7 linked regions of the Ovis aries genome follow. The protein of the gene in region 7 interacts with the protein of the main gene of each other region in a biochemical or structural test. Links are inferred from orthologs where the notes say so. Each region holds a gene or a part of one and is shown on either strand. Other genes may lie near its edges. The genes, in order: MCM7, FRMPD4, DGKZ, MAS1, ADRB1, RPS6KA1 and SNTA1.

Region 1 (3,031 bases), on a different chromosome or scaffold from region 7:
AAAGGTTTCATCGTCTCTGCCGGAGGAGGGGCGTGGCTCCTGTGACTGAGGGCTCCTTCCTCGTGACTTTCTCTGGTGCTTCCCTTTCCACTCTAGATCCAATCTCCTACCTTCATGCCTCTGATCATGTGCCCGAGCCAGGAGTGCCAGACCAACCGCTCAGGAGGCCGACTGTACCTCCAGACTCGTGGCTCCAAATTCATCAAATTCCAGGAGATGAAGATGCAGGAACACGTGAGTTTAGAGTATGAGGTCCAGGGCCCAGGGAAGTTTGAGGTTGGGAGTTCACTCAACTCCAGTAGAAACTCGTGAAGTAGAGGGAAGAAAGTAGAACAGAGAGAGGAGCTGAGGCAGAGAAGTTGCAGAGAGTAGGAGGCAGGCTTCTCTGGAACTTTCTGACTGAGCTGGGATGTGGTAAAGGAGAGCTCAGCTTCCCTCTGTTGGTTTGTGTGGGGCCAAATAGGCCAGGGAGTGGCAGATGGGTGTGCGCAGGAGGGGAGGTTAGTCCTCCGGCCTCAAGCGCCCTTCTTCCCCAGAGCGACCAAGTGCCCGTGGGAAATATCCCTCGCAGTATCACGGTGCTGGTAGAAGGGGAGAACACAAGGATCGCCCACCCCGGGGACCACGTCAGCGTTACTGGCATCTTCCTGCCAATCCTGCGCACTGGGTTCCGACAGATGTTCCAGGTGAGGAAGGGAGTTTCAGAGGAGGAAGTGGTGGTCTCCTTCCTCCTTACCCCTCCCTTTTACCAGCCCCACAGAAGAAAGTTTCAATAGCAAAACACCAGGCAGAATGGAACAAAAGGGTTTGTCAGGAACTCCAGAGGGCATCGTGTGGTGGGCAAGCAGAGAACTTCATTCATGCCCTGGCGTTTTCCTGCCCAAGGGTTTACTCTCGGAAACTTATCTGGAAGCTCATCGGATTGTGAAGATGAGTAAGAGTGAGGAGGATGAGTCTGGGGCCGGAGAGCTGAGCAGGGAGGAGCTGAGGCAAATCGCAGGTGAGGGGTCTGCAGGAAGATAAATGTGAGTTTATCCCAAGCGCTTCTTTCCCCTGGAAAAACTCTTGAGTCTTGGCTTTCCCGTAGAGGAGGATTTCTATGAGAAGCTGGCGGCCTCCATCGCCCCAGAGATATATGGGCACGAAGACGTGAAGAAGGCACTGCTGCTCCTGCTGGTGGGAGGCGTGGACCAGTCTCCTCGAGGCATGAAAATCAGGGGTGAGTGGAGACATCAGGGAAGGGTGCCAGACCAGGGTCGCATCGGTCACAGAATAAAAGCCGGCATCTTGATTTCACGGGCGCAAGGTGGGATTAGAAACAGGGCAGGCAGACCTCAATATCCTTTTCTCTGTGTGCAGACAACCTGCATCGAGGGAACAGTCACTCAGGGGCTTCCTTCCCTTCCTCCAGGCAACATCAATATCTGCCTGATGGGGGACCCTGGTGTGGCAAAGTCACAGCTCCTGTCTTACATTGACCGCCTCGCCCCCCGCAGTGAGTATCAGACCCTAGGAGAGGCAAACTTAGGAGGAGGACCACCAGGCTTCCGTCGTGGGAGGGCCAGGGGATGGAGATGGGTGTTGGTGTCATCACCGCCAGACCTGCCACTGCCACTGCCTCGGGACGGCCCGGCTGGGTTGGTAGAGCAGTTCAGCCCAGGCCTCGCCTCACGGCCGCGTTCCCTCTGCCCTGCCGTTGCTCCCTTACTCTCCTCCATTTTCCTAAACAGGCCTGTGCGTGTCTGCCTTCCTGACCCTTCTGTGCAGGCCAGTACACGACAGGCCGAGGCTCCTCCGGGGTGGGCCTCACGGCGGCTGTGCTGAGAGACTCGGTGAGTGGCGAGCTGACCTTGGAGGGCGGGGCCCTGGTGCTGGCCGACCAGGGAGTGTGCTGCATTGACGAGTTCGACAAGATGGCGGAGGCCGACCGCACAGCCATCCACGAGGTCATGGAGCAGCAGACCATCTCCATTGCCAAGGCGGGCATTCTCACAACGCTCAACGCCCGCTGCTCCATCCTGGCTGCCGCCAACCCTGCCTACGGACGCTACAACCCTCGCCGCAGCCTGGAACAAAATATACAGCTTCCTGCGGCATTGCTTTCCCGATTTGACCTTCTCTGGCTGATCCAGGACCGGCCCGACCGAGACAATGACCTGAGGTGACTGCAGTTCTGCACTTGGGAGACACCCCCTGTAGCCATCTCTGTGCAGGGAGGAGAAACTGGAAAACCTGTTATTGTCTTAGGGAAACAGCAGGAACCTTCCCCTTAAACAGCAGGGGTTGCTCCACAGTTCTCAGAGGGGGTCAGGGTTGAAGCGCTGACAATCCTTGGCTGACCAGGCTGTGGGGTGGAGCGCTGAGGGGGCACCAAGACACAGCGCTCCTGTTGCCTCCCCTCCTCCCAGGTTGGCCCAGCACATCACCTACGTGCACCAGCACAGCCGGCAGCCCCCTGCCCAGTTTGAGCCTTTGGACATGAAACTGATGAGGTAGGAGAGCCGGACAGGGCTGGTCCACTCCCTGGCGTCTTGGCCTCTGTCTCTCTCTTTTGAAAAGCTTTCCCCCCTTCCCCTCCTCCTGGTGTCCTGGGTCTGAGAACAGGGAGTCTTGGTTCCCCCGGGCTGGCCGTAGAAGACCACGGCAGAGAACCTGCCTTCACACACCTCTACCTGCAGTCTCAGGGTTACTAACCCAGGTGCAGATTTTGGCAAAGCTGGCTTTTGCTGCCTGGGTGCCTGACAGCACTGCTCTGAGGAGTCCGTCCAGGGACTCCCAGGGGCTCCTAATGTAGTTTTTCCCTTTTAGCTGTTCTCATGAATTAACAAAATCATCTCTTAAGGCAGGTGGATTTGTCTCAATCACGCAAAGGCCATTTTCGTTTAAAAAAAAAGTTGGGGATAACTTGAAATGTTGATGGACTTTCTAAATGCAGCATATTTAAGCCTAATCATCCACCAATTGCTGTTTCCTACTTTAAAGCGCCCTGCCCTCCAGTTTCTTTACTCCCAGTTTTCCAACTCTTAGTGCA
Region 2 (4,672 bases), on a different chromosome or scaffold from region 7:
CGTGAACCTTGGTTCCTCCCATAGCTCTGTCCATCACTTAGAAGTAGTTGTATCTCCATCAAAATCGATCGTCTGATGCGAGTTATCATTTAGATCTCAAGACAAGATAAGAAAGAAGACATTTCTCTTTCAAAGAGAAAATGTAACAGAGTTGAAAAGTAAATGAAAAGGTGCTAATTACTAATAATAGGTTAGTTTTCAAATTGTTCTTTTAACTTCTAAAACTAATGAGTAGAGAAACACTTTGTAATTTCTTTGTAATGGACATCAGTTACTCGGTAAGATTAAAACTCAGAATGATTCTGATTATTTATAAAACTCATACTATAAAACTCATTAGTGCAAAGAAATAACAAAGACTTTCAAAAGAAATACCATTTTTGACATCTTTAAACAGTATCTTTGAGAAGACTGTGGAAATTTACTCCTCAAGGAAGAAGCGCTGTGGATTTAGATAAGTGATACCGGTGACTTTGGTTTTAAAACTTGTCATTTAGTAATCAGTGCAGGCTTCTCTAATAAGTTGCTGATCTGCTCCTTCATGTTTCAACAGCTGGCATTAGGCCAGTGTAAATGTTAAATTGACACCTGGGCTGGCCCTTAAAAATGTCAATGACATTGTTGGAAATGCATATCTGTAGATCTTGTTGAGGTTCCTAGAATCTCCAACCAATAGGCCATCGTTTGGGTTTGTATCTATCAATCAACTGGCCTCTAATGTACAGAAGTCTCAATCCAACCACAGACAAAGAAAAATCCATTTTAATTAGGGAAGCATGAGTTGTACCATCACAAAATTCACAACTCATGTGTTTTCTAAATTACATTTCTTTGGCAGAAATTTTTATTGTTTTGAGTCAATGCATCTAGGCCACCTCAACTGTGCCAATTACGTAAATTCATATCCATGTTTTGAAATAGATGGCATAATATAATATCATCTTTCTACCATTATGAGGGATGCAGGCAAACTGTTGAAATTAGCGAACAACAATATAGAGTGTAAAAAACTCCTGGGCTATCTTCATATCTTCAAGATTCCTGAGAGATTCCTTCCCCATCCTATTTAGGAAGGACCCAGGAAGCCAGCCCTACAGTCACAAACTGAACTCTGAAGAGAAGTCCTCTCCCCTCTGCAGAGACTAGGAAACCACTAACAACACCCACAGGAGTTTTTCCGGAGCTACTCGCCAGCAGTCCTAACTTAAATGTGCTGGACTATCCAGAAGAGCAAATACTCAATAGCAATCTTGGCAGATGTTTCCATTTTTGTAAAAATGATCCCCTATCTCTCATGGATCCTTTATTTGCTAATTAGTCCATAGTCCGCTGGGCTGAAACAAACAATGAAGCCTGTGGTATTGAAACATTTTTTCCCCTTGGCCTACAACCTCTGTTCACTTCTATTAGGCTAGGGCCAACTATGCTTTGGGATTTCAAATCTTGTTCACTAATTTCTCATAATTAAGAATATTTCACTTAGATTGGAGAAGAAAACAGAGTGGCCTCTTGCTATTATTAGAGGTGCAATATAAGCACTTTTTTTACACAACTGCAAAAAATCCAGAGCACTATACCCTCTGTGAAAAACAGTTTGGTTATTCTTGGAAAAAATGAACATCTAACTATCATATAATCCAGCAATTCCACTCCCAGGTATATACCCAAAAGAATCAGAAGCAGAGACTCAAACAGATACTTGTGCACTAATGCTCTTGTGTGCATGCTACATCTCTTCAGTAGTGACCGACTCTTTGCGACCCTATGACTGTAGCCCACCAGGCTCCTCTGTCCATGGGATTCTCCAGGCAAGAATCCTGGAGTGGGTTGTCTTGCTCTCCTCCAGGTACTAATGTTCACAGTAGCATTATTCACAAGAGCAAAATGGTGGAAACAGCTCAAATGATTGCAGACAAATAAATGTATAAACAAATGGGATCTATCCATACAATTAAATATTGGGGGGGGTCAAACACTTCATTTGGATTTTTCAGTAAGATTTGACAGAGAAACACGAACTGTTAGCCAACCCAGTATTACTTGGTCTTAAAGGAATGAAATTCTTAGACATTCTACAACAGGAATGAACCTCGAAAACATTATGCACAGTAAAATAAGCCAGATAAAAAAAAGTACAAATATTGTATGAGTTCACTTATATGAGATACCAGTTACTGGGGGGAGGGGGAATAGGGAATGACTGTTTAATGTGGACAGAAGTTTCTGTTGGGGAAGATGGAAAAGATCTGGAAAATGAAAGTGGTGATAGTTGCAAAATAGTGTGAATATAGTTCATGTCCTTGAATTGTACACCTAGAGGCAGTTAAGATGGTAAATAAAAGTTACCATTATGTTATATGTAATATAACCATTATATATATAACATAAATTAAATAATTGGTATGTAATATATATTTTAGCACAATTGAAAAAAAAAAGAAAAGCACCACAAAATATCCAAAACCTTAACCAATGGTAGTGGGAGAAAGTTATAGGACAACCCATAACGCATGTAATCCTCTCGGATGATATTTCTAGTTAGAGAAGAACCAGTAATATTTCTGTCTTAATCATTTCAAGAAGGCTTTCCAAATGACACTCCTCCATGTCAAACTTTATTCACTTGTCTCAGACAATGAATACAACTGGCCTGAGATTCAATAACATACATTTTTGCTCTGGCCCAGGAGGGCCTAAAATGGCATGAGCCCAAGAACAAAGCAACCTCATATCACCAGATATGGAAGGTCCAGGCAATCAGTTGATTGAGTCATGGCCTCCAAGTGCCCAGGAGTCTGCAGTTTAAGAATGCTAATTCTATGGAGTCAAGGGTCAAAACAGAAAAGTCCCAGAAGGCAAAGTTGGCACCGTTCATGAATGTTGTGTTCAACTTACTTGATGAAGCAGTCTCGGCCATCCCGGTTTGCCGTCATCTCCCATCCATAGGGTGGTACCTGGTTCAAGCCCCAGGTTCCCGAGGGAGGTGGCCAGCCTGAAGACTTCGTCCTGTGGCTGGAGGAAAGAAAAAAATCATTACACCAGACTCTTGGAAATTTCTTCTCTGACAAATTCCAGAAGGGGCACGGGACTGGCTCCTCTCAACTGCGGGCTGTATACTCAGCTGACTACATGAACGGTTAGGACGTTTTTAGGTCATGTACTGGGCTCACAATCTGTCTTTACAGTATCTTGTTAGCTTTTCAAAGCAGCCTTACATATACACATCTTGTTTCACAAGATGGGGAAACGATGAATAGCTCACAAAGATTAAGCAACTGCCCTGAAGACACACAAGCCAATTTTGAACGTTCACACTTTCTATGACACTAGGCACTCCTGGGACCAGATATTAGGATGGACTGACAAACAAACAGCTATCACAACACAATATAAATGCACACATGAAAATAAATTCCTATTTTTATACATCTGAAACAAATAACTCCAAGCCTCAGTTTTCTGAACTCTGACTAAACTACAAAATTTCCACTTACAACTACACTCAAAGTGAGTCAAAGTGAGTCAGAAAACCTTAGACAAACTCTCCATTTATGTTGCAGTGAAAATACACACATTAGCTTTTACATTTTCTAGTTCACACCTTAAATGTGACTCAACAGCAAAATGAAAGCGTAGGTAAAAGAAAATTTTCTAGAAGCTTGTCTTTTCAAGAGCAACAGGAACAAGGAAGTGACTCCATATCACAAGCAGCTGTGATGAGCAGCGTTGCTTGGTGACAATTGCTAACCAGAGGCCTAGGGTCCAGTTTCTGAGGCATCACTGAATCCTGGCCAATGCTGTTCTGCCCGGGACCTGCGGGAATTCCACTGTTCTCTCAGGAACATGGGAGACTCCTTTAGAGCCCAACTGTGGGAAGGAAATACATGATGTCATCTTAGGATGTCAACCAACATCCTTGACCATTTGTCCTGTCTCTAGGTGATATTTCTTACTCTAGATGGCCTGCTAGATCTTCTAGGTGGTTCCAAATTGTAGATGGGAACAAAGTGTATATGCGTGTGTTAGAGGTTGGGTAAGAACAACTCCAGAGTCTCACAGTTAGTGTCTCAATAGTGAACCTGGAGCCCTTCATATATTAGAAAGAATCGCCCCCTCCCCCTGCACCATGTATAACATGCACAACTTGTACAACCATCTATGGCGGGCCTCCCACAGTAAATATCCAAATCAGGGGTGTCAACCTGCCTGCAAGGAGGGGACAATCTTCACAGGATGCAGGGTAACTCAGCTCCACCCCTACTCCCACCCCCATCCACACATTTGACTCTGACCCAATGCTTCTCCCCAAGGGAAACCAGCCCATTTCCTGAAAGGTTTCTGAAGAGGAACTAGCTTACAGAATTTTAACTACCTCCACTGCCTTTAACTTCCATTTCAGTTTTCCCACATCCTCCATAAAGTGTGGGGAGCAAAAGAGTTCACAAATTTAACACAGATCCCACCATAGGGCTAATTCCCACCTGAGAACTATTACAAGAACAGACATGCCAAGTTTCTGTCCTTCTCTGCACACAATCCAGCAGGGACAATATCCTCTGGTGGTTTTTGAAGAGTGAACTGCTTGTCTGCAGTGAGAACTCATGGAGCCCCTACTCCCCTCCCCCCTCCCCCCACCTGATGAGGTGCTAAAAAAAGTCTGCCAATTTCTCCA
Region 3 (4,497 bases), on a different chromosome or scaffold from region 7:
GCGGGAGTACTGACATGGAGGCAGCCATGCCTGCAGAAGCCGTGCTGGGGGCTGCCGGGCTCCAGGGCTTGTTGCTTATGATCTGCCAGCCTCTGCAGGTGAGGGGGAGGAGGGCAGAAGAGCTCCTGGTTTCCTCCTAAAATCAGTGCCGTCCTGCCTGACATTTGCTGAGTGCCCACACACATCAGGCAGGATACTAAGTCCTTGGCAAACACGTGCACTGTTTTATAAACCACAGCACCCTAAAGAATAGACACGGTATCATGCATGGCTCCTGAGGAGAGACCGAGGAGATAATCAGCCCAAGGTGCACAGCTAGTCCGTGAGGAGGAGGCGCTGGAACCCACCTCAACCCGAGGGCAGAGTCTAGTCTGAGCTGGGACTAAGGTGCCAAAACGGCAACAGCGGTGCATTTACCCATCACCCGCTACGTGACAAGCGCGCTCACTCACCATCTGCTTTGATCCTAGCTACCTCCCCCGAGGCAGGTTACAGAGAGGAGGAAACCAGCTTGAGGAGACCAGGCCCAGGCTCCTGGGTCACACGGCTGGCCACGGGCAGGAGCGGGACCTGAACTCAGGTCTGCCTGACCCAGGGTCTGCGCTGCGCCCAGCAGAAAGAGCCTGGAGGGCCAGCGGCCCGCTGCCGCCGGGACCCTGACTTTCCAGCACTGCCCCAGGGTGTCAGCTTTCCCCGCCCGCCTGGTCAGGCCGCCCTGTGACAGCTGCCCAGCCCGGAGATTAGTCACCCGAACACACCGCCTGATGCGAGTGTCACCCAGAAAACAAAAGGCCACAGTCACTGGGGGGGAGGTGCAGCAGGCGCTTTGTGGGTGGACCCTTCCGCCTGCCCAGCCCCGCGCCTGCGACAAGAGAGGCTGGGGGTGCGGACAGGCCTTGCAGCTCACCTGCCTCAGGACACGGGGGTGACTTAGAGGGGCCCCCCCCACGCCTGGGTCCCCGCCGGGCCCGGCCCAGGGGTCTCCCCAGCGGCCTGCTGGCGTGGTCACCACCAGCAGGGGCAGGCTGGGCCAGGCCAGGCCAGGCCAGCGCCGCGTGACCTCACGCAAAGCCGCTCCCTCTCGGGCCTCAGTTTCCTTGTCGGTTGGAGGAGGCCATCAGCTGGCTGATCTGACGGTTTATGACACGCTCTCCTCTAAGGCGACCGCACCTCTGTGCTCCGACACCCCCTCCCTCCCGGCGCAGGCTTCCTGTTCCTCTGGTCGCCATAGAAACCTCTGTCCTCTGGTCAGCAAAGGCCTGACTCCTGACTTCCTATCTCGGCCCAGGCCTCTCCTGGGTCTGCTCCCAGGCCCTGCCGGCTCTCAGGCCTGTCCCGGACTCTCCTCTGCCTGCGCCTGCAGCCTCTTCCCATGGCACGGCCCTGGGCGGCAGCTTCCTCTCACCTCACGCTCTGTCAGCTTCCACACACCACCCTCAGTACATGTAAAGGTCACCGGAGGAGGCCCCACAGGGTTCTGACACCAACAGCGGAGCAAAAACGGCTGCCCTCAGCCTCCTGGTCAGGGCCCGGCGGGGGAAGCCTGTCACACCCGAAGGGAATGGGCTGGGAAAGGACTCGGGGGCCCGGAGTCGACGTCCAGCCGGCTGCTAGGAGCCTGGGGAGGAGGACAAAGGGTGCTGTGGGCAGACGGGCTTGGTGGCAGCTGGCCGGGCACCCTTGGTGCCTAGGCTCAGGCAGCTGCCGGGAGCAATGGGCACAAGAGCCCCAGCTCCATCGGTTGCTGGGCAGAAAGGCCAGGACCCGATCGCCCAGTTAGACTGGCTCACGCCATCTTACCTTCAAGCTTTGGAACCCTGTATCTGCCACTGCTTTCCTTGGCTGATCAACTAACCTTTTGGAGTCTCAATTTTCTCCTCTGCAAAACAGGGCTGAAACGACCTAGTCCAGAAGCTTTGACGTGACAGAGGTTCGGATGACATTAACGGTGCAAAGTACCTGATGACAGCCGGCAGAGAGGAGGGGCTTGGCAGGGCCTACATCCACAGCAGACACCTGGGCGTGTGGGTCGTGCCACCTACTGGAGTCTGTCTCTGCTCCCAGGTGGCTCAGTGGTAAAGAACCCGCCAGCCAGAGCAGGAGATGTAAGAAACGTGGGTTCGATCCCTGGGTTGGGAAGATCTCCTGGAGCAGGGCATGGCAACCCACTCCAGTGTTCTTGCCTGCGGAATCCCATGGATGGAGGAGCCTGGTGGACTACAGTCCCTGGGGTCATCAAAAGCCAGATACAACTGGGCATGCACGACGGTGCAGGTAGGAGCCAGAAAGGGAAGCGGGAGCAGCCAGGATGGCCACCACCCACCATACGAGGAACACAGCTAGGCAGCCTGGGCTGTGTGGGGGCCCTGCTCATGCTGGGACAGATACCCTCTGCCCCGGCACCAGATTGGGCCTCCAGGGACTGCTCTGCCTCCCAGGGTGCTCGCACAGCCCACCCTGTGGGATTCAGCCAGAGCACCCGTTCCACACTGAGTGTGGAATGCCACCCACCCCAGGCGCCACGTCCTGGTGAAGGCTGGCAACGATGCCCAGAGGTCATCTCCAGCAGCCCCACAGCAGGGCCTGCGGGTCAGAAGCCGCCCTGGCGGCTCTGCTCCCACAGCGCCGAGGCTGAGGTCGAGGGAAGGGGGTGGGGACGGCTGGAAGTGGGGCCTGCCTGGGGGCTGCTGAGGCAGGGTGCCCGGGTCTCCACTCACTAAGGGGAGACTGCCAAAACCAAACCAAAGCAAACTTCACAGTGCGAGACGTGGGCCAGGGCTGCGCGGTACGAGGGGCAACTAGGCCAGTCATGTTTACCACGACGTGGTCTGCCCCGGCTCGGGGACAGCAGCTCAGACCCCCATCCCTTCCCGCTCCCTTTCCATCAGCTCCAGGAGCCTGGTTTGGGGACAGTGGTGCCTGGGGGACCCTCCCCCCGCAACCCCACCCCGACAGGTCCAAGAGGGTTAGGAAGCAGAAGGCAAGGGAGGGTTGAGGGAAGCCCCTTTGACCTGATCTGGAAGGCAGGGTGGCAGGCAGGAGGTGCCCTCAGGTGGCAGGCAGAGCAGGCGGGTGGGGGCCGGGGTCCCCGTGGGCAGGGGAGCCCTGTTGCAGAGCTGCAGTGCCAGCTCCAGCTGCTGGCCTCCGGCTGAGCAAGTCCTAGTTTGGAGAGCGAGCTGCTGAGGCTGCTCCTCTGCCCCCTCCCCCTCCCTACCCTCCTCCCCGCCCCCCCAGCCTGAGACAGCCGTTATGAAAATAACCCGATTGGTAACCGACTGCACTTCCTCTCCCAGCAGAGCAAGCAGGCAGCGGCTGCTGGGCGGGCGGCCGGGCGGGCACACAGGGGCACGAGCCTGGCTTCCCGGCTTCTCTTCCCAGCGTCCCCAGAGGCTGGCAGGGCAACAGCCCAGGAGCTTCCCCTCCAGCCAGCCCGGTCACAAGCACAGCCTGTATCTTAGCTCCAGGAAGGCGAGGGGGCTGTGGGGGGGGGGGTTAGACGTGGTGGGGAGGTCACCCTACAGCCTCTAGCTCCCCGTGAACAGGTTTTTCCGGGGCCTGGGGAAAGCATCTGAGACAGCGAAGCACCGGCCCCAGACAAAATAACCACAAAAACAAATATCTTGTGGAGTGTTTCACAACTTACAAAGCGCTTTTTCACAAGGATTACCAGACAGGAGGCTTGTAGCTCCCCCTGCGCAAGTGACATTTCGGTCCCAGCTGAACCACCAGGGCACCTGAGGCTCGAGGAGGCCCATCATGCCCAGAGCTCAGAAGGGCTGATCCGGGCCTCCAGATCCCGGCTTTCGCAGCCCTGCCAGGGGGCCTGTCAGGTCCAGAAGAAGCCAGTCCACCTTGCACCCACCCAGCCCAGCATGCCAACCCTCGGTTTACACTCCTGGCCCCCAGAATCTAGAGCACCAGCTCTCCAACATCCTGGTCTGAGGACCCTCTTATACTCTTACAAATTACTGAAGATCCCCAAAAGGTGTTCTTTGAGAGTTACAGCTATTAACGTGGACCATATTAGCTTCCGTGGTGGCTAAGATGGTGGAGAATCTGCCTGCAATGCAGGAGACCTGGGTTGGATTCCTGGGTTGGGAAGATTCCCCTGGGGAAGAGAACGGCAACCCACTCCAGTATTCCGGCCTGGAGAATTTCATGGAGGCTACAGTCCATGGGGTCACAGAGAGTGGGACAGGACTGAGCAACTACCGCTTTCACTTTTTCGTATTAGAAATCAAAACTGAGAAATGTTTAAAACACTATTCATTTAAAATATATTAAAATACTATTTAAAAACAATAAGCCCAGTATGTTAATATAAATAACACACTTTTATGGAAAATAAGCTCTATCTTCCAACACAAAAAAAGTAGCGAGAAGACTGGCATGTTTTAATTTTGTAAATCTCTAATGTCTAGCTTATTAGAAGACATCTGGACCCTAATATCTGCCTCTGCAGGCAATCTGTTGTGATATGTTAATTTGGCTGAAGTA
Region 4 (4,486 bases), on a different chromosome or scaffold from region 7:
TAGGCAGATGACACCACCTTTATGACAGAAAGCAAACAGGGACTAAAGAGCCTCTTGATGAAAGTTAAAGAGGAGAATGGAAAAAAAAACTGACTTAAAACTCAACATTCAAAAAATTCAGATCATGGCATCTGGTTCCATCAACTTCATGGCAAATAGATGGGGAAACAATGCAAACAGTGAGAGACTATTTTCTTGGGATCCCAAATCACTGCAGATGGTGACTTCAGCCATGAAATTAAAAGGAGCTTGTTCCTTGGAAGAAAACCTAGGATAATCCTAACACCATATTAAAGAGACATTACTTTACTGACAAAGGTCCATCTAGTCAAAGCTATGGTTTTTCCAGTAGTCATGTATGGGTGTGAGAGCTGAACCATAAAGAAAGCTGAGTGCTGAAGAACCGATGCTTTTGAACTGTGGTGTTGGAGGAGACTCTTGAGAGTCCCTTGGACTGCAAGGAGATAAAACCGGTCAATCCTAAAGGAAATCAGTCCTGAATACTCATTGAAAGGACTGATGCTAAAGCTGAAGCTCCAATACTTTGGCGACCTGACTCACTGGAAAAGACCCTGACTGGGAAAGATTGAAGGTAGGAGGAGAAGGGGACGACAGAGGATGAGGTGGCTGGATGGCATCACTGACTTGATGGATGAGTTTGATCAAGCTCTGGGAGTTGGTGATGGACAGGGAAGCCTGGCATGCTGCAGTCCATGGGGTCGCAAAGAGTCAGACAGGACTGAGTGACTGAACTGAACTGAACAAATGATGAACCAGGCTATGATAGAACATAACACCCACCCTCCCGCAAATATAAAAGAATCATAGTCAGTGAAGCATTTGAATGCAAAAGAAATGTTCAGAAAAAACAGTTGGACATTGTTCAAATTATGTTGCAGGGGCAACTGTATTCTGTCTGCTTATCCTTCTTTGCCTGAGAGCCACACTTCCACTCAAACTGACCACAGGTGTGAGTACTAAACAAAGCAGCTTCGCCCCTCTGAACCCCAGGTTCTTCGCAGCATTGGCACATAGTTTACTGTATTTCTGGAAGCCTGGGGTGTCAGAAAAGCTAGACACTGAAAAGCACTTTGCCAGTACAAGTCTCATGGAAACGCCGAACTGAAATCATAAATCAACAAGCAGAGAAAACAAGCATGGTGGTTTCCATGGATGTTTAAGGATGCGGGCTGGCAGGTCTACTAGAAACTGCTACCTGCATTCACTTCTCAATGAACAGATGGGCAGCGAGGGTGACAGAAAAGCGAGAGAGATGAGAAAAGGCAGAGTCGGAGGTAGAAGCAGAGTTTTAAAGGCTCTGTTCAGGTGCTTGCTGCAGTTTTCTCTTAAAAGAAAAGCATCCTCTTCCATAGCCCCCTCTCCGCTCAGCTGCCCACGGTCCTACCCTGGTCCTGAATTCTCAGGCTACGATAGCCATCTTAGGAAGGAAGGAAGAGAGGGGTGGAGGGAGGGAAGGAGGGAGAAAGGAAAGGAAAGGAAAAAGAACAAGAGTGAAAAGCCAACCAGTGTCCAGGGTAGGCCATCTGAAACTTCATACGCTCCTAGGCAACCGAAAGGAGGGACCGGCCCCCAGGCTGGACCTTGCAGGTGTGCAGCTCTGGAGAGAGGGCACGTGCCCGCCTCCGTGTGTGTGCAGTAACCTGGACAAACAGAGACCCATTCGTGAGATGGAATTTCCATGGCAGGCACTGGATCTGATGGGAATGTGCCGCAGGGACATCTGTCCTTGTATTAAATGCCTCGCTCCCTCGAGCCGTCTGCACAGAGAAGCAGAAACTCCTCACTCCCTTTCCAAGGGTACAGCAAGGTCACCTTAGACCACTCATCTCGAAAGTGGGGGGAGTTGGGTGATTTTATCTCCAAGGGGACATTCAGTGTTTTGATGGTCACACTGAGAGGAGGAGGGAACTGGAGCCTAGTGGGCTGAGCCCACGGATGCTGTTCAACATCCCAGGAGGCACTGAAGAGCTTCCCACAGGAAAGAATTTCTAGCCCCCAAATGTCACAGTGCCAAGGTCAAGATACCTAGTGGTGGGCTCCTTACCACCTTCTCCCTGCTCTCTGCATAGCGATCGGACGAAATCCCGCATTTTCTCTCTCCGGTTCCCCTTACCCACCCTGCCTGGGAAATGCTGCCAAGATGCTCACATCAAAGAACAGGGGAATCCTTTCAACAGAACCTGGCCACCTGCGCACCTGACTTGGGAAGCAACAGAAACCATGACTGACACACCAGTGCCCTCTGAGGAAGGCAGAGGAGAATCAACCCAGCTTGCCTCCAGCCAAGTGATATCCCCAGAGGAACCAAACACACAGCAACAACCCCTTCAAACCCCAATTCCTTTATCCTTGATAATATCCCTTTAAACAACCTTGACCACCTCCAAGTCCACCACTGACTCTGTGACCTGAGATTCTTGCCAAGATTCTCGCCCCCCTGTCACGAGTCAGAAAGAAAAAGTTAGTGTGGAAGTTTCGACCCCAAAAGTTGAAAACTGACGTCTGGGGACAGTTAATGCAGCAATAGAAGCAAATTTTCCAAAACAAAGGCAGGAGAGAGGTTTTTGGCAACACGGAGCAGACATCTAATACACTATTAAAACCACCAGCACAGAAAGGGTGGTCCGGGCAATAGCTTTTGGAAGATGGAAAAATCTTACTTTGGTTGTCAAGGTCAGCTGAGCAGTTAGAAACCGGGGTGCAGGCTCACGCGGTCCATTCGCTCAGAGGGAATCAGAGGTGGCGACCGGGAGGCTGGACCTTCGCGTCCTGGGCGCCGCTGTCCTGCCGACCTGCAGGGTCCCCGGTGCCCACATCCCCTCCAGGCAGCCTGCAGCCTGCCTTCTCCGAGGAAATCAGAGCTGCTCTCCCACTGCTGAAAAAATTCGAGATGTGCCAAGCAGATGGTCCCACGCTTATCAGCAGAAGCTGTGCTTCAAATGGCATCGCTCAGTGACACGCTCAAGTGAAAATCTTCACTCCGATCCAGAGTGGGACTAGGCTGGTGATCACGTGAGGTGACTGACCTCCCTCCCACCCCGAACCACCAGGGCCAGCGAGGGCTGAGGCAGAAGACAGCCCAGAGAAACACTGCACAGAAGGGCAACATCGCATGTGTAGCCGAAAGAGAGCCGCGGCTCAGATTCCTGACTCAGCCTGTGACTGGCCAAGTGGTCTCTGCCAAGCTCTGGAAGACTCAGTCTTGTCCCCTGTAGAATGGAACTCATCATGACCCAAAGCTGCAATGGTTAAATGAGGTGTAGGAATGCACCTGCACAGTGAGGGACACGTGGTTAAACAATTCAATATCCCCTGCCTTCCTATAGGGCTTCCCTGGTGGATCAGATGGTAAAGAATCTGCCTGCAATGTGGGAGACCTGGGTTTGATCCCTGGGTGGGGAAGATCCCCTGGAGAAGGGCATGGCAACCCACTCCAGTATTCTTGCCTGGAGACTCCTCGAGGACAGAGGAGCCTGGCGGGCTACAGCTCATGGGGTCGCAAAGACACAACTAAGCAACTGACACTTTCCTTTCCTTTCCTACAACCCATGTTAAGAGAGTCTCATGCCCATGTGAGTGTGCAAGTGTGATGCAATGGAGGAGAGAGAGAGAGAGAGAGAGAGCCCAGAACTGGGTCCCAGGGGTGGATGAGCACCAGTGCCCAGCTCGCTTCTCAGCCTGGCTCAAAGACGATTCCTGGGAGCAGCTGTTTCTGTGAGATGCAGATCCTCACCCAGGCATTCAAGTTACTTTCTCCTGAGACCCTCTTCTTGGTCAACAGACCCCACGTGAAGGCGCCAAGACCAAGCAAGAGGCTTCTGGAGGGTCTGAGTAGCCAAGCCTTGTGGTGAAGACCCCCACCACCCATTTGTGGCAGCATTTATTCCTTTTTCTTTCCCCCAAAGTATTCCTTCACGATTACTGCGGCAAAGTAGCCGTGGACTCCTGGGACTGATTTGATCAACAGAGGGCAGGAAAGCAAATCAGGATTCTATGGGAAAGCAGCCTTAGGAGCCACAGACGGAGCCTTCTTCCGACTGTTTTCGTAAGCAAGAAGACGAGAGGCCAGCCAAATTGGCCTGGTGGGAAACCTGACCCGCGGCTCTGCCCTCCAGTGGAAGAGGAGGGGGGTACCAGGGCACCTCCCTGAAGGTCTCCAAACGGCAGGCAGAACAAGGTGAGGTCCGGGCACCTACTGGGCAGGCAGTGCTAAGCAGCAGAGCAGAAGATGGGGGAGACTCAGTGCGATTTCATTACCTGGATGCGATGCTCCAAAGAAGGAGAGTCAGCCTCCTGAAGACCTTTCCTTTGCCCCGAAGATCATCAGAAATTGCAGGGAAACTGGGACCGCCTAAGGCCACCAGCCAGGCTGAGAGAAAGGAGCGGTCGGAGGAGAGGAGACCAGACACGCAGAAGCAAGTACGATTGGGAGAGAAGGATCAGGCTGGCTGAGAAGGTGCCAAGG
Region 5 (4,641 bases), on a different chromosome or scaffold from region 7:
ACCTGACTCCATTTTTTTTTTTTTTTAAAGAAGATGCACAAGCTCAAATGTTACTTCTTAAGTCAAGTGTGGCAGATGGGATCTTGAAAACACCTCCAAGTAGTCTAGAATATTCTGGAACCGGCTATGAAAATGTAGGGCAAGTCTGCAGCTCTCTCTCAGTAGGTGCACGCCTTATTTGGTTTAGAGGCATTTTGCTATGCTCTTGAGTCATGAAAAGCTATTAAAAGAGCTCTATGGGAAATCCAGTCTATATTGCGAACAAAACAAACTGTCTTTTCCATTATCACTGACCCCCCTTACAGACACACAGTACATAATCTTTTTTTGTGCTTCATTGGTATTTATTGCACATGGACAAATTCCTCACATAGTAGTTAGTTGCACCAGAGTATAAATACTTGGTAAAGCACACAGAGGAAATAGTATTTACACACAAGTGCTAAATTTCACCAGCAGATTCACGTGTGCCCTTGGACATAAAAAAATAATAAAAAAAATCCTTAAGATAATTTTTTATAATATGGATACAGTACCATGATAAAAGAGTATAAAAAGGTATTTTCCAATAAATTGCTAGCTCAATAACATAACAGACAACAGAGATAGAATCTGAATTTTATTTTAGTTTTTAAGATCTGCCCCACCCCACTCCCATTAAAAAATATTTCATTTCTTTTTGTGCAAATAACATTTTCTGTGGACTTTACAGTTCCTAATACTGTGCAAAAAAAATGCCACTTTGAATCACGGCTTTTTTGTTTTGATTTTTTGTCTATACCACATGTGCAGTAATCTGAATTGTTTTCCTTTTTTCTTTTTCCTTTTTCTGTCCTGTCTTCAATGGACAGAGTCACATGTCACGAAGGCTCAGCGCCTGGTCCTTCCAACTAGTATTGATACATAAATAAGCTGTTTAATATAAACAAGTCTCTCTATCTGGCCGTGCAATGTGCACCGTGTGAGTGAGGTAGGAACCCCTCAGCCTGACCACCGAGGAGGCGTTCAGGGACAGCCCGCTTGCCCTCCGAAAGGGAAGCAAGGTGAGGCTTGTTCCAAGAAGAGCATAAAACTTCCTGAAACGCGATTTTTGCATCCATCCTTGCCCTCGGCTTTCAGAACAGGAGAAATAATTCCTCAGAAATTAAAATGGAATTTCTCTGAAAAGCAAAAGGAAACAACGTCCTGATAAAGTGTCATTCTCTCTCCTCTCTCTCTGGCTGACCGCTTCTGTTCCCAGGAATGGGATGGAAACTAAGTCGAGAGACTTTTACCTCCTAACGCTTCCCCCTTCCCTTCCCAGTCATCGCAGAAAGTGTTAAAAGCCACGTGGCGGGGGGGCGGGGGGAGGAGGGACTCTAAAGATGCATCACACGCACACACAGAAGGCTGGACCAGAAACAGGAAAAAGAACCCCAAGAACAATCAGTAAGCCACTCTTCCACCCCTCCCCAAACTTCTCCCACCTCTCCCCAAACTTTCCTTTCTGTGCGACGGTCCGTGGCTTTCCTATTTGCCCTTGGATGATGCAGACGAGGTTCGCAGGCTTCGAGTTCACCTGCTTTCGGTCTCGAGTAAACACAGACCTCTTTCCCGGGGAAGCGGTTCAGGGGCGCCCGGGTTCTCTTGCTCCTGGAGCGCACAGCCCGCGCCCGGACTGGGGAAGCCGGGGAAGGCGGGGAGGGGCGCCCGGCCCTACACCTTGGATTCCGAGGCGCAGCCCGGGCGGCTTGGCTCGTCCGGGCTCGAGTCGCTGTTCGCCGCCGCCCCGCCGTTGTAGCCAGCCCAGGGCTGCAGCAGGCGCACGGGCGGCGCGGCCCCGACGTCGTCTTCGTCGTCGTCGTCGTCGTCGTCCGAGGCGGCCCCGGGAGACGGCGACGGCCGGGCCACCGCCAGGCAGCCCGCGGCGCGCGGCGGGTCCCCGGCGGCCCCGTGGCTCCCGCAGGCGGCCCGGCGCGCGCAGCAGAGCAGGCGCTGGAAGGCCTTGCGGAAGTCGGGGCTGCGGCAGTAGATGATGGGGTTGAAGGCCGAGTTGGCGTAGCCCAGCCAGTTGAAGAAGACGAAGAGGCGGTCGGGCACCAGGTCGCGGTGGAAGGCCTTCACCACGTTGGCCAGGAAGAAGGGCAGCCAGCAGAGCGTGAACACGCCCATGATGATGCCCAGCGTCTTGAGGGCCTTCTGCTCGCGCAGGGCCACGAGGCGCGAGGGCCGCCGCTTGTTGGCGCGCCCGTTGGCCACCGCGGCGGCAGGGAGCGGCGGCCCGGGCGAGGGCGCGGGCGAGGGCAGCCGCGCGGGGCCGCTGAGGAAGCGGCGCTCGCAGCTGTCGATCTTCTTCACCTGCTTCTGGGCCTCGCGGAACACCCGCAGGTACACGAAGGCCATGATGCACAGGGGCACGTAGAAGGAGACGACGGAAGAGGTGATCGCGTAGCCCTCGTTGATGATGAAGTCGCAGCACTCGGGGTCGTTGTAGCACCGGCTCGCCTTGGCGTCCTTGTCCCGCCACCACTGCATGAAGATGGGCAGGAAGGACACCAGCGCCGAGATGGCCCACACGGTGCACACGAGGGCCCGCGCCCGCGCGCGGGTCAGCAGGCTCTGGTAGCGGAAGGGCGACGTGATGGCGAGGTAGCGGTCCAGGGCGATGACACACAGGGTCTCGATGCTGGCCGTCACGCACAGCACGTCCACCGAGGTCCAGAGCTCGCAGAAGAAGGAGCCATACTCCCAGCGGCCCCACACCACGATTGTGGCTCCAAACGGCACTACCAGCAGACCCATGACCAGGTCTGCGCTGGCCAGCGACATGATGAAGAGGTTGGTGAGCGTCTGCAGCCGCGGAGTCTTGGCGATGGCCACGATCACCAGCACGTTGCCCGCCACGATGAGCAGCACAATGAATGCCATCAGCAGGCCCATGCCGACCGTCCACTGCTGCGACAGCAGCGGGGGTCCCTCGCTGGCCGAGGTCAGCAGCGAGGCGGGCGGCGACGCGGGAACTAGCAGCCGCGCCGCCGTGGCCGCGCCGTCGGGGACCGGCGCGGCCGATGACAGGTTGCAGGGCTCGGAGGCGCCCAGGGCGAGCGCCCCCGCGCCCATGCCGAGCTGCGGAGGCCGGGGGAGAGGGGTGTGGCGGAGTTGGGCCGCGGTTGGGGAACCCCCCCAGAGGCCCGAACGGCGGGGCGCGCGGAGGGAGGTCGCGGCCAGGTCAGCGCAGCCGCGGCGCGGGGCCGGAGGCATGGGCGCCGGGCGCCTTCCCCGCCGGAGCCGTGCGCTGTCGCCGCCGCCGCCGCCGCCGCTGCTGCTGGAGCCGCTGTCGCTGCTGGAACAGCTGCCGGGACCTCAGCATGTTTCTGAGCTCGCGGAGCCCGCAGCCCCGGCACCCAGCACCCACCCCACCCGGCTCCCACTCCCCCGAGCCAACCCCCGGGGCCTCGCGTCAGGCTCCTGCAGCCAATCCTGGCGAAGGCACGCCCCTCTCTGGTTCCCCCCCACCCCCACCCGGCCCCGCCAACTCCTAGCACCCCGCCTCCACCGGCGGTTCTGCGGCTCTAGGGAGTCCGGGGCAGATCGCCAAGCAAGCCCCTCCCCAGCGCTCGCGGGTTCCTGCCCGCGCGTCCCTTCCAGAGCCCGCTTGGCTCCAGTGCCCAGTTCCCCTCGGTTCCCAGTCGCGCCCGGCTTCCACCCTGCCCCCTCCCGCGGCCCCCAATCTCCCCTCTCCTGCGCCCTGTTTGCCTCCGGCGTTTGCTTTCCGCTGCGCCCCGGCTCTACCCGCCGCCACCCATCCCATCTACCTCCAGTGCCCAGGTTTCCTGCAGAGCAGAGCTCACGCGCCCTTTAGCAGGAAGGGGACTTCGGTGTTCTCGAAACACCGGAGCGCCTTGGACGGTCTGTTCGCTGGGGGTGGAGGAGTCTGGCTGCAAGACTGTTTCTTGTATTGGGCAGCCTAGGAGGGTGTGTGTAAAGCCCTTCCTCTGTCAAGAGGAGTCCCAGCCAGCTCGCGTCCTGCCAGCTCGGGGATCGGATCGGAGGCGGGTGTGAGCGGTTAGAAGAAACTTTCCAGCGAGCGCCTTGCTAAAGCAGAGCGCGCATCTGTCAGGAACGCTCCCCGGGAGCTATTCTTGCAAGAAGCTTCTGTCGTTCCAGGGCAGCAGATGCAGAAAGCAAAGGAAGGTTTGTGCAGCTGACAGCTAATGCTGAGGACCAGTTGGAAAAATACACACTCCCAGGTCCCAGCTGATGGATGTGTGAGTATGGTGCAACGGTGTGTGCCGGTAATGTAAAGAGAGAGAGAGGCTTAAGGACAGGCATGTTAGAGTAAATGACACCGCCACGGAAGCTAGAACACGTTTAATTACTTTTCAGACTTTTCATGTTCAGTAATAACACCTGGATTTTGTGTTCTGTTACTCACGTGATTGTATGACTTGAGCTGGGTCAGTGCAAACAAAAAAGGTACATTGGCTTTGGGTGACACAGTAGTGAACTGAGATTTCAAATTTCTTGGTCTGCTGCGTTGCCTTCTCCTTTGCCCAAGTTCCCAGATTCTCAAAACTCTAGGATTAATTTTGGAGGGATGAGAGAAGAAAACATATATAAATACTCAAAAAGATTAAAATCCAATAGCATGTAAAGTTATAT
Region 6 (4,055 bases), on a different chromosome or scaffold from region 7:
AGTGCTGGGCCTGGCTGATGGGGAATGGCTAAGGCAGCTGTTTCCTGCAATCTCCCGCCTGGACCCTTGCAGTAGCCCCTGCGACCCATTCTCCACGCTGCTCCAGGGCCTCCTCAAGTGGCACATGCCCTTTTTGGGGATTTCTTCCTGGAAGGCCCTTTCTTTCCTCTTTCACTGTCTAGAAGCCGGGCAGGAAGATGGGAAGAACCAAAGGGTGGGGCTGGGAAGGATCAAAACCTCACTCCGCTGCTCGTGGACTGGATATCTGGGGCAAGTTACTTTGACCCTCTGAGTTTCAGCTTCCCCTCTGAGAAACAGGATGACAAAAGTACCCAACTCATAAGGTCAATCGGAGAAGGCAATGGCACCCCACTCCAGTACTCTTGCCTGGAAAATCCCATGGGCGGAGGAGCCTGGTAGGCTGCAGTCCATGGGGTCGCGAAGAGTGGACATGACTGAGCGACTTCACTTTGACTTTTCACTTTCATGCATTGGAGAAGGAAATGGCAACCCACTCCAGTGTTCTTGCCTGGAGAATCCCAGGGACAGGGGAGCCTGGTGTGCTGCCGTCTCTGGGGTCGCACCGAGTCGGACACGACTGAAGTGACTTAGCAGCAGCAGCAGCATAACGTCAATGTGAGGGGGTACTGTTCACTAAGGACTCAACCCAGCGTCTGACACAGAGGTTCCCACCACTGGGACCTGTTGTTTAGTACTGAAAGCGCAAATGTTCCTTCCTCTGAGAAGGCCTGTCTGCCTGGTGGCCCGTAGCCCTGCCTGGGTCTCCACTGCCTATACCTCTGACCAGGAGGATCTGCTTCTCTGTCCCCTTGTGTGCAAACCTGTCTGTCCCCTCACACTAAGTCCCCAAGAGGCAGGGGCCGTGACGATGCAGCCCTCTGTCCCCCTTCAGGGCCCAGAACACAGGAAGGGCCAGTGAATGATCACCAAGTTGCCCAAACAATACACAAGATAGAGGGCGGGGGAGGGGGAGCAGTCTGCCTGGGAATCTTCCACTTGCAGAAGTACAGCAACAGAGGTTTGTGGGATATTCCACATGGAGAAATGAGGCTGCCAGCCCCCCGCCTGTGAAACGCTGAAAAGTCCTGGGATGGGACCCTGCCTCCCCAGCCCTGAGTGAGCAGGGCCCAGGCCTTACAGGCTCACCTTGGCTGTGTCCGAAACCGCGTTCCAGTTTCCCCCACTGAGAGTGAACTTGCCACTGCCGATCCGGGTCAGGATTTCCTCTGGCGTGTCACTGGGTCCATTGGCAAATGGAGTGTATCTGGGGGAAAGTCCACCTGGTGTGGGTATGGCCTCTGGCCTCCACTGAGGTGGCCGGGGTGGCGGGGGGCGGACTGTATCTCCCCCTTCAGAGTGGGTGCCCCCAAAGGCGGCACTTCCTCCCCAAGGTGGAGCTCCCAAAGGCAGCACCACATCCCTGTCTCCAGCTCTTCCTGAAGCAGGGATGAGTCTCTCCCATCAGACAAGCAACACCCCAGCCTGTACACTAGGGCTGGAGGAAGGGTGGGGGCAGACAGGGTGCAGGCCAGAGGGGCACTCACCCCGCCAGCATGGTGTACAGCAGAATGCCCAGGCTCCAAATGTCACAGCCTTCATCATAGCCCTGGCGCTTCAGGACCTGGCAGGAAGGCGGGCAGGGGAGGGTGGTCGGGCTGAGGGGCACATGCCTGCCTGCTACTCCCCAAAACGCAGGACAAGGGTCCCAGGCATGGGCTGATCCTGCCTTGGTACTTGGACTGAGACCACACAGACTGGAGTCCTGGACAGCGTGGGGCCTCTGGAAGGGACACAAGGCCCTTGTGCCAGGCCCCCCCCTCACTCTCGCAGCTGAGGAGGCTGGGCCGCTCACCTCAGGTGCCACGAAGTTGGCGGTGTAGCAAGGTGTCATGAGGAGCCCGTTTTCAGCCCGCAGCTGCTTGGCGAAGCCAAAGTCACAGATGCGCAGGCACTCGGGATTCCCACTCTCATCCACATACAGGATGTTGCTGGGCTTGAGGTCCCTGTGCACGACCTGGGGGCAGGGGGCTGGGTCAGTCCTCCAGGTGGGCAGGCTGCCGGGGCCCAGGTCCACTGCCAGGGCTGGGAGAGTCAGAAGATGGGCCCAGAGAGGGGGCAGAAGGACCCAGAATCTGAAAGGGGGGAAGGGGCTGCCAAGGGGCCTTGCTGCTGCTGGTGTTATCAACCTGAACCCTCTAGGTCAATGTCTGTGTGCGTGCGCGTGCTCAGTTGCGTCCAACTTTGCAACCCCATGGACTGTAGCCTGTCAGGTTCCTCTATCCGTGGAATTTTCCAGGCAAGAATCCTGGAGTGGGTTGCCATTTCCTACCCCGGGGGGTCTTTCTGACTCAGAGATCAAACCCAAGACTCTTGTGTCTCCTGCACTGGCAGGCGGGTTCTTTACCACTGAGCCACTTGTCAGCTCTAACTTCACCATCCACAGGGAACTCCTCAAAGCTGCGTGCCACACAGGTGTGTACATGCACGCATGCTAAGTCGCTCCCGTCGTGTCTGACTCGGGAACCCACAGACTATAGCCCACCAGACTCCTCTGTCCACTGGATTCTCTAGGCATGAATACTGGAGTGGGCGCCACGCTGTCCTCCAAGGGATCGTCCCAACTCAGGGATCAGACAAACCCACGTCTCCTTATGTCTCCTGCATTGGCAGGCGGGTTCTCTACCACTAGCACCACCTGGGAAGCGGGGGACCACACATGTGACCTAACGGCAACTCCATTCTTCCCATTGCATGGGTCAAAATCTTTGAGGAATATGAGAAAAAAAGAGGAATTAAGAATGACTCTATCAATCCATCACCAAACACAGCTGGGTCTACCATTAAAATATATCCGGGGACTTCCCTGGATAGTGGTCCAGTGGTTAAGACTTTGTGCTCTCAATGCAGGGGGCCTAGGTTTGATCCCTGGTCAGGGAACAAGATCTCACACGCCACAGCTAAAGATTCGGAGTGCCACAACTAAAACCTGGTAGTCAAATAAATAAATGTTTTTTTTTTTTAATGTCCAGAGCCCAGGCACTTCTCAGCCCCTCTACTAGCAGCATGCAGATCCCAGCCATTATCATCCCTCCCCTGGAATACGGCAACAACCTCCTAACCGGTCTCTCTGCTTCTGTCTCATCTCCTATGGCCTGTTCTAAACAGAGCTGCCAGAGTGATCCTGTTAAATGTAAGTCAGATCATGTCACCTCCAAGGGTTCCCCTCTTAGGAAGAACAGTCTTTACGATGGCCTGGTGGCCTCACCTCCTCTCTCCCCTACTGCTTGCCCACATCGCTGGCACTCTATCACTCCTTTCCTTGCTCAGCTGGCTTTGGCCACGCCAGCCTCTTTGCTCTTCCTTCAAAGTGCTAAGCACACTCCTGCCCCAGGGCCTTTGCACTTGCTATTCCCTTTTTCTGGAATACTCTCCCCTTAGGCATCTGCCTGGCTCATTCTCTTATTTCTTTCAGGTTTCAGCTCAAATTGTCACCTTACCAATCAGGGCTTCCCTGGACCATTCCATATGAAATATAAAACGCCACCTGGTCCATTCCATATAAAACAGCAACCACAGACCAGTACTCCTTACTCTCCTCACCCTGCTTATCTTTACCCACAGCGTTTACCACTGTTGGAGATTCACTTCATCGTCTTCAGAACCCACCCACTGGAATGTAAGCTCCATGAGTGTTTGGCTCACTGCTGCATCCCAGCATTAAGAACAGTTCCCAGCACACAGTAGGTATTCAATAAATGCCTGCTGAAGAAATGGACAAACGACACTGCCGAGGCCTTAAGCACATGACCCTCCCCTGGCCCCATGTACTCGTGTGTAACCGGAGGAGGCTGACGCATCCCACTTGCTTTTCATCCACACCCTCTCCCTCTGCATGGTTCCATTCAGAGTCACTAACTCACCTAATTATTAACAACTCTCAGATCTCCGACACTAACCCGGAACTTTTCTGAGTCCAGCATCGCACAGCTGCTGACCAGATGGCAACCACTGAATGTCCCCTAGCCCCTCAAGCC
Region 7 (3,639 bases):
ACTGTTACAGTTGGCTTTTGATTGCTTTTTTCTCTAGAATATCATCTAGGGCACAAATGTTTGTCTACCTTGTTCAACTCTATAGTCTCAGAAACTAAAACAATGCCTGGCACAAAGTAGGTGCTTAGTAAACATTTGTGGCCTGAATTAATGAATCACTTGATTAGGTAGAACGTTCATGACCTGCTCATCCCTAGTAGGCAGCAGGCTCCTGACACGTGTGCTGGAATGCAGCCTGGAGTGAGGAGGCATGAGCAACAAGGGCCCACACCTCACAGCCTGACTCCCACTTGCTGCGTAACCTTGGGCAGTTCACTGGCCCTCCCAGGGCAGCAGACCCCAGAGTTCTATACCTTCGCCCTCTTTGGTCCTCACTCCACAAGCTTTCTCTTATAGCTTCAGTTCCCCCTTGGAGCTGTTTCTGATGCCCAGTCTCCTACTTGGCAGCCCTAAGCAACAGACTCACAAGTTCCCCAGTTTCCTACCCAAGCTCCCTACCTACCCGCCCCCCACCGACACTTTGGACTCAACATCTTGATCCAACCCCCTCCCTTTGCACTCCCACCCTCACTCCTACTGCCCACCCAGACACCAGCTCTAAAACTCCCGTTCATCCATTCATCAGGACACCTCCCTCACCCTCCCCATCTGGCAAGTACGAAGCCTGGTTAATTTTCCCACCATGTGTTTCCAATGCAAATGCGGCCTTTCTTCTCCATCTGCTGCCTCTACCCACCTCCACTGTCTCTCCAGCGTAACTGCTCCCATCCCCCTCCTCCAGTATATTTTCTGCATGGCAGCCACACAGATCCTTTTTAAAACAGGACCCGACGAGACACCTCACTCTCAGGTTAAAACTCTTCTCACTCTGTCTGCCACAGCTCTTAAGATAAAGCTAAAAGTCCTTATCCACGCAACAGAAGCTCTGCAAGATCAGGGCCTGCCAACTCCCTGCCTTCTTTCTCTCCACTTCCCAGACAGAGTCTACACCCTGGTTATAGCACACTCAGTGAGCTCTGTGAAGCTGTGAGAGCTCTTCATGCTTCTGTCCCTCTGACTATATTGTTCCCTCTGTGTAAGATGCTTCTCCACCCTTCCTTAAATAGCAAATTTCTACCCATCTGCCAAAGTCCAGCTCATATGTCATCTTCTACCTGAAGCCTTGCACCACCCCCACCTGCAGGCCAGGTAGAGTTAAGCGGTTCCTACACTCTGCATTGTAAAGGCTGTTTCCAGGCCAGTCTCCTCACCAGGCTGGGTCCTCCCTGAGGACAGAGACCTCTAGGGACTGTCTTTCATCTGAACCAGGCAGCACCAGGTTGGACAGAGCAGGTGTCAATGAGTGAGTGACTGATAGGACCTCATATCCTTCTGTTCTGAGGCCCCATTTTATAGATGAAGAAACCAAGGCCCAGACTGGGCAGGGACTTGCTTCAGGCCACCTGGGGAATAACTCAGCGTAGAATGGGGCTGGAGTCCCCAGCTTCTGAGGTCCATCTAGAGCATCGCCCCCACAAGCTCTGGGTGGGACACACAGGCCTGCCCTACCCGCAAATACCTGGTGGTGATAAGGGGGGCAGTACGCGCCGGCCGGCTCAAGGCCTCACGGGTCTGGGGGAGACAGCTGTAGAGGAGCAGCTCCTTTTCGGTCAGCAGGGCCAAGGTGGGTGCTGTGCCCCCACTGGGCAGCTGCAGGAGGCAAGGCACCAGTGAGAGGGGACAGGGAGGGGAGAAGAGAGGTGAGAGGGCCAGGGCGGGGTGAGGCAGTGAGGGGAAATGGGACTGGGGTCGCCTCTGGGAGAGGGGAAGAGGGGAGGAGGGGTCCCCGGGGCCCCGGCAGGCACCTGCTCAGTCAGCCAGCCTATCCGCTTGATGTCCTGACTCCCGGCTGTGCTGGTGGCTGACAGCAGCGCCTGCAGCTCATCCTTGACCCGGAGCGTCAGAGTGTTGACCTGGGCTTGGATGGCAGCCGCCCAGGACTTGGCACTAGCCTCATCCTTGGCCCTCAGGAAGAGGGTGTCCCGGCCATCAGCCGAGCAGATCTCCAGATACCTGCAGGCGCAAGTGAGGTAGAGGGGAGTCCCACTGGACAGGTGCCCAATGCTACAACTTGAGCCAAGGAACCCCCATCTACCACAAAACCAGAGGAAACCACAGGGGATGTCCATGAAAGAATCAGGAGCAACTCCCGCTCCTGGGCTCTGGCCACAGTTGTTGGGCCTCATGGGGTTTATCTATCTTATCTTATCTTGGGATAAGAGACTACATCTCTCTCTCCAACACACATACAGGCATATACACACAAATACACACACCCAAAAGTGTAGTAGTAGTAATTGTGTTAGTCACTGGGTCATGTCTGACTCTTTGAGACCCCATGGACTGTAGGCAGCCAGGCTCCTCTGTCCATGGAATTTTCCAGGCAAGAATACTGGAGTGGGTTGCCATTTCCTACTCCAGGGGGTCTTCCCGACCCAGAGATGGAACCTGTGTCTCCTGCATCTGCAGGTCAATTCTTTACCACTGAGCCACCAGGGAAGCACCACTACAAGGCACACTGTATGGTTAAAAAAGAAAAGAAAAAGCCAGGGTATGGTGAAGGGAAAGCGTGGGGAGACAAAAAGCCACACAGGCAAGTGTAAGGGGAAGGTCTCAAGGAGGTCCAAGAGGAGTCAGTGGCAGGGAAAGGACCTTCGAAAGTTCTGTGGGGCTTTAAAGATTCACTCCCCTTTGGAATTTCTGTAACCAGTGAAGTGGGGCAGAAACTGGAGAATGGCTTGCACATATCCATTCCAATGCCTTCACCTCTGCCTTCCTCCACTACAGATCTCCCCTGCAGCTAGCACTGGCCATCAATCCAATTCTGACTGTTGAAATAGAAAGCGAAGTCCCTTCCCAACTGAAGTGTTCCTAGCTGGGCCGTTCGTTTCCAAAGATGGCCTCCACCAAACTCATCTCTCCCTATATGCACTCTCTCACCGAGAGGTGAAGTTTATTTCTCCTCTCCTTGACCTTCCGACTTGGTTTGACAAACAAAATGTGGCAGAAGTGCCATTTTGGCATTCCTAAGCGATCACGAAATCCAACTACCCCAAGGTCACCTATGCTGAGAGGGAAAACAAGCTAGCCACGTGGAAAAGCCCTACAAAAAGAGGAATGCTTAGCCAGCCGCCAGCTGTTCCAACCACCCCTGCTGAGGAAGCAGGCACATAGGTGAACCAGCTCTCTTGGATTTGTAGCCCCTGCAGATGGCACAAGGAACAGAAGAACTGCCTGGCTAAGCCAGCCCAGATTACAGAACTGTGAAAAATATTAAACGTGCTATCTTCTAAGCCACTAAATTTTAGGATGGCTGTTTATGCAGTGATAGAACAAAATACCAGGGAAACAATTCCTTTGTCTTTTGCCTTCTCCCTGTCTAGAATATGGACACATGCATAGAGGTGCAGGCACCAAGCTATTTCCAAGAAGAAGAAAATCCACACTAAAAAACGGCAGGAGGGGAATTACCTGCCAGACCAGCCATTAGGACTCCATGCTTTCACTGCCAAGAGCCTAGGTTCAATGCCTTGTCTGGGAACTAGGATACCATAAGCTTCATGGTGCAGCCAAGAAAAATTTTTTTAATAAAAATGGTAA

The links.
Region 1: the proteins of SNTA1 (region 7) and MCM7 interact in a test that uses a peptide from one of them, tested with the Homo sapiens proteins (2 studies listed by BioGRID and IntAct). The link is inferred for Ovis aries from reciprocal best matches to the Homo sapiens genes SNTA1 and MCM7.
Region 2: the proteins of SNTA1 (region 7) and FRMPD4 interact in a test that uses a peptide from one of them, tested with the Homo sapiens proteins (2 studies listed by IntAct, with this or other methods). The link is inferred for Ovis aries from reciprocal best matches to the Homo sapiens genes SNTA1 and FRMPD4.
Region 3: the proteins of SNTA1 (region 7) and DGKZ form a complex in vitro, tested with the Homo sapiens proteins (2 studies listed by BioGRID and IntAct, with this or other methods). The link is inferred for Ovis aries from reciprocal best matches to the Homo sapiens genes SNTA1 and DGKZ.
Region 4: the proteins of SNTA1 (region 7) and MAS1 interact in a test that uses a peptide from one of them, tested with the Homo sapiens proteins (2 studies listed by BioGRID and IntAct). The link is inferred for Ovis aries from reciprocal best matches to the Homo sapiens genes SNTA1 and MAS1.
Region 5: the proteins of SNTA1 (region 7) and ADRB1 interact in a test that uses a peptide from one of them, tested with the Homo sapiens proteins (2 studies listed by BioGRID and IntAct). The link is inferred for Ovis aries from reciprocal best matches to the Homo sapiens genes SNTA1 and ADRB1.
Region 6: the proteins of SNTA1 (region 7) and RPS6KA1 interact in a test that uses a peptide from one of them, tested with the Homo sapiens proteins (2 studies listed by BioGRID and IntAct, with this or other methods). The link is inferred for Ovis aries from reciprocal best matches to the Homo sapiens genes SNTA1 and RPS6KA1.

What each region holds. Positions count from the first base shown.
Region 1 is NC_056077.1:36,789,630-36,792,660, forward strand, and holds part of MCM7 (DNA replication licensing factor MCM7), read left to right. Parts: exon of another isoform or gene 1-96; coding exon 97-234; exon of another isoform or gene 235-536; coding exon 537-686; exon of another isoform or gene 687-885; coding exon 886-1,000; exon of another isoform or gene 1,001-1,087; coding exon 1,088-1,219; exon of another isoform or gene 1,220-1,411; coding exon 1,412-1,495; exon of another isoform or gene 1,496-1,767; coding exon 1,768-2,161; exon of another isoform or gene 2,162-2,408; coding exon 2,409-2,492; exon of another isoform or gene 2,493-3,031. UniProt on the Homo sapiens protein: Acts as a component of the MCM2-7 complex (MCM complex) which is the replicative helicase essential for 'once per cell cycle' DNA replication initiation and elongation in eukaryotic cells.
Region 2 is NC_056080.1:10,634,420-10,639,091, reverse strand, and holds the start of FRMPD4 (FERM and PDZ domain-containing protein 4), read right to left. Parts: upstream 3,012-4,672; 5' UTR 2,934-3,011; coding exon 2,896-2,933; intron 1-2,895. UniProt on the Homo sapiens protein: Positive regulator of dendritic spine morphogenesis and density. Required for the maintenance of excitatory synaptic transmission. Binds phosphatidylinositol 4,5-bisphosphate.
Region 3 is NC_056068.1:75,288,034-75,292,530, reverse strand, and holds the start of DGKZ (diacylglycerol kinase zeta), read right to left. Parts: upstream 3,160-4,497; 5' UTR 453-3,159; exon of another isoform or gene 1-452. UniProt on the Homo sapiens protein: Diacylglycerol kinase that converts diacylglycerol/DAG into phosphatidic acid/phosphatidate/PA and regulates the respective levels of these two bioactive lipids.
Region 4 is NC_056061.1:83,844,643-83,849,128, reverse strand, and holds the start of MAS1 (proto-oncogene Mas), read right to left. Parts: upstream 2,966-4,486; 5' UTR 2,682-2,965; intron 1-2,681. UniProt on the Homo sapiens protein: Receptor for angiotensin 1-7. Acts specifically as a functional antagonist of AGTR1 (angiotensin-2 type 1 receptor), although it up-regulates AGTR1 receptor levels.
Region 5 is NC_056075.1:34,061,385-34,066,025, reverse strand, and holds ADRB1 (beta-1 adrenergic receptor), read right to left. Parts: upstream 3,356-4,641; 5' UTR 3,241-3,355; coding exon 1,696-3,240; 3' UTR 607-1,695; downstream 1-606. UniProt on the Homo sapiens protein: Beta-adrenergic receptors mediate the catecholamine-induced activation of adenylate cyclase through the action of G proteins. This receptor binds epinephrine and norepinephrine with approximately equal affinity.
Region 6 is NC_056055.1:240,301,873-240,305,927, forward strand, and holds part of RPS6KA1 (ribosomal protein S6 kinase alpha-1), read right to left. Parts: intron 2,036-4,055; coding exon 1,874-2,035; intron 1,643-1,873; coding exon 1,566-1,642; intron 1,286-1,565; coding exon 1,168-1,285; intron 1-1,167. UniProt on the Homo sapiens protein: Serine/threonine-protein kinase that acts downstream of ERK (MAPK1/ERK2 and MAPK3/ERK1) signaling and mediates mitogenic and stress-induced activation of the transcription factors CREB1, ETV1/ER81 and NR4A1/NUR77, regulates translation through RPS6 and EIF4B phosphorylation, and mediates cellular proliferation, survival, and differentiation by modulating mTOR signaling and repressing pro-apoptotic function of BAD and DAPK1.
Region 7 is NC_056066.1:62,900,035-62,903,673, forward strand, and holds part of SNTA1 (alpha-1-syntrophin), read right to left. Parts: intron 2,053-3,639; coding exon 1,845-2,052; intron 1,690-1,844; coding exon 1,559-1,689; intron 1-1,558. UniProt on the Homo sapiens protein: Adapter protein that binds to and probably organizes the subcellular localization of a variety of membrane proteins. May link various receptors to the actin cytoskeleton and the extracellular matrix via the dystrophin glycoprotein complex.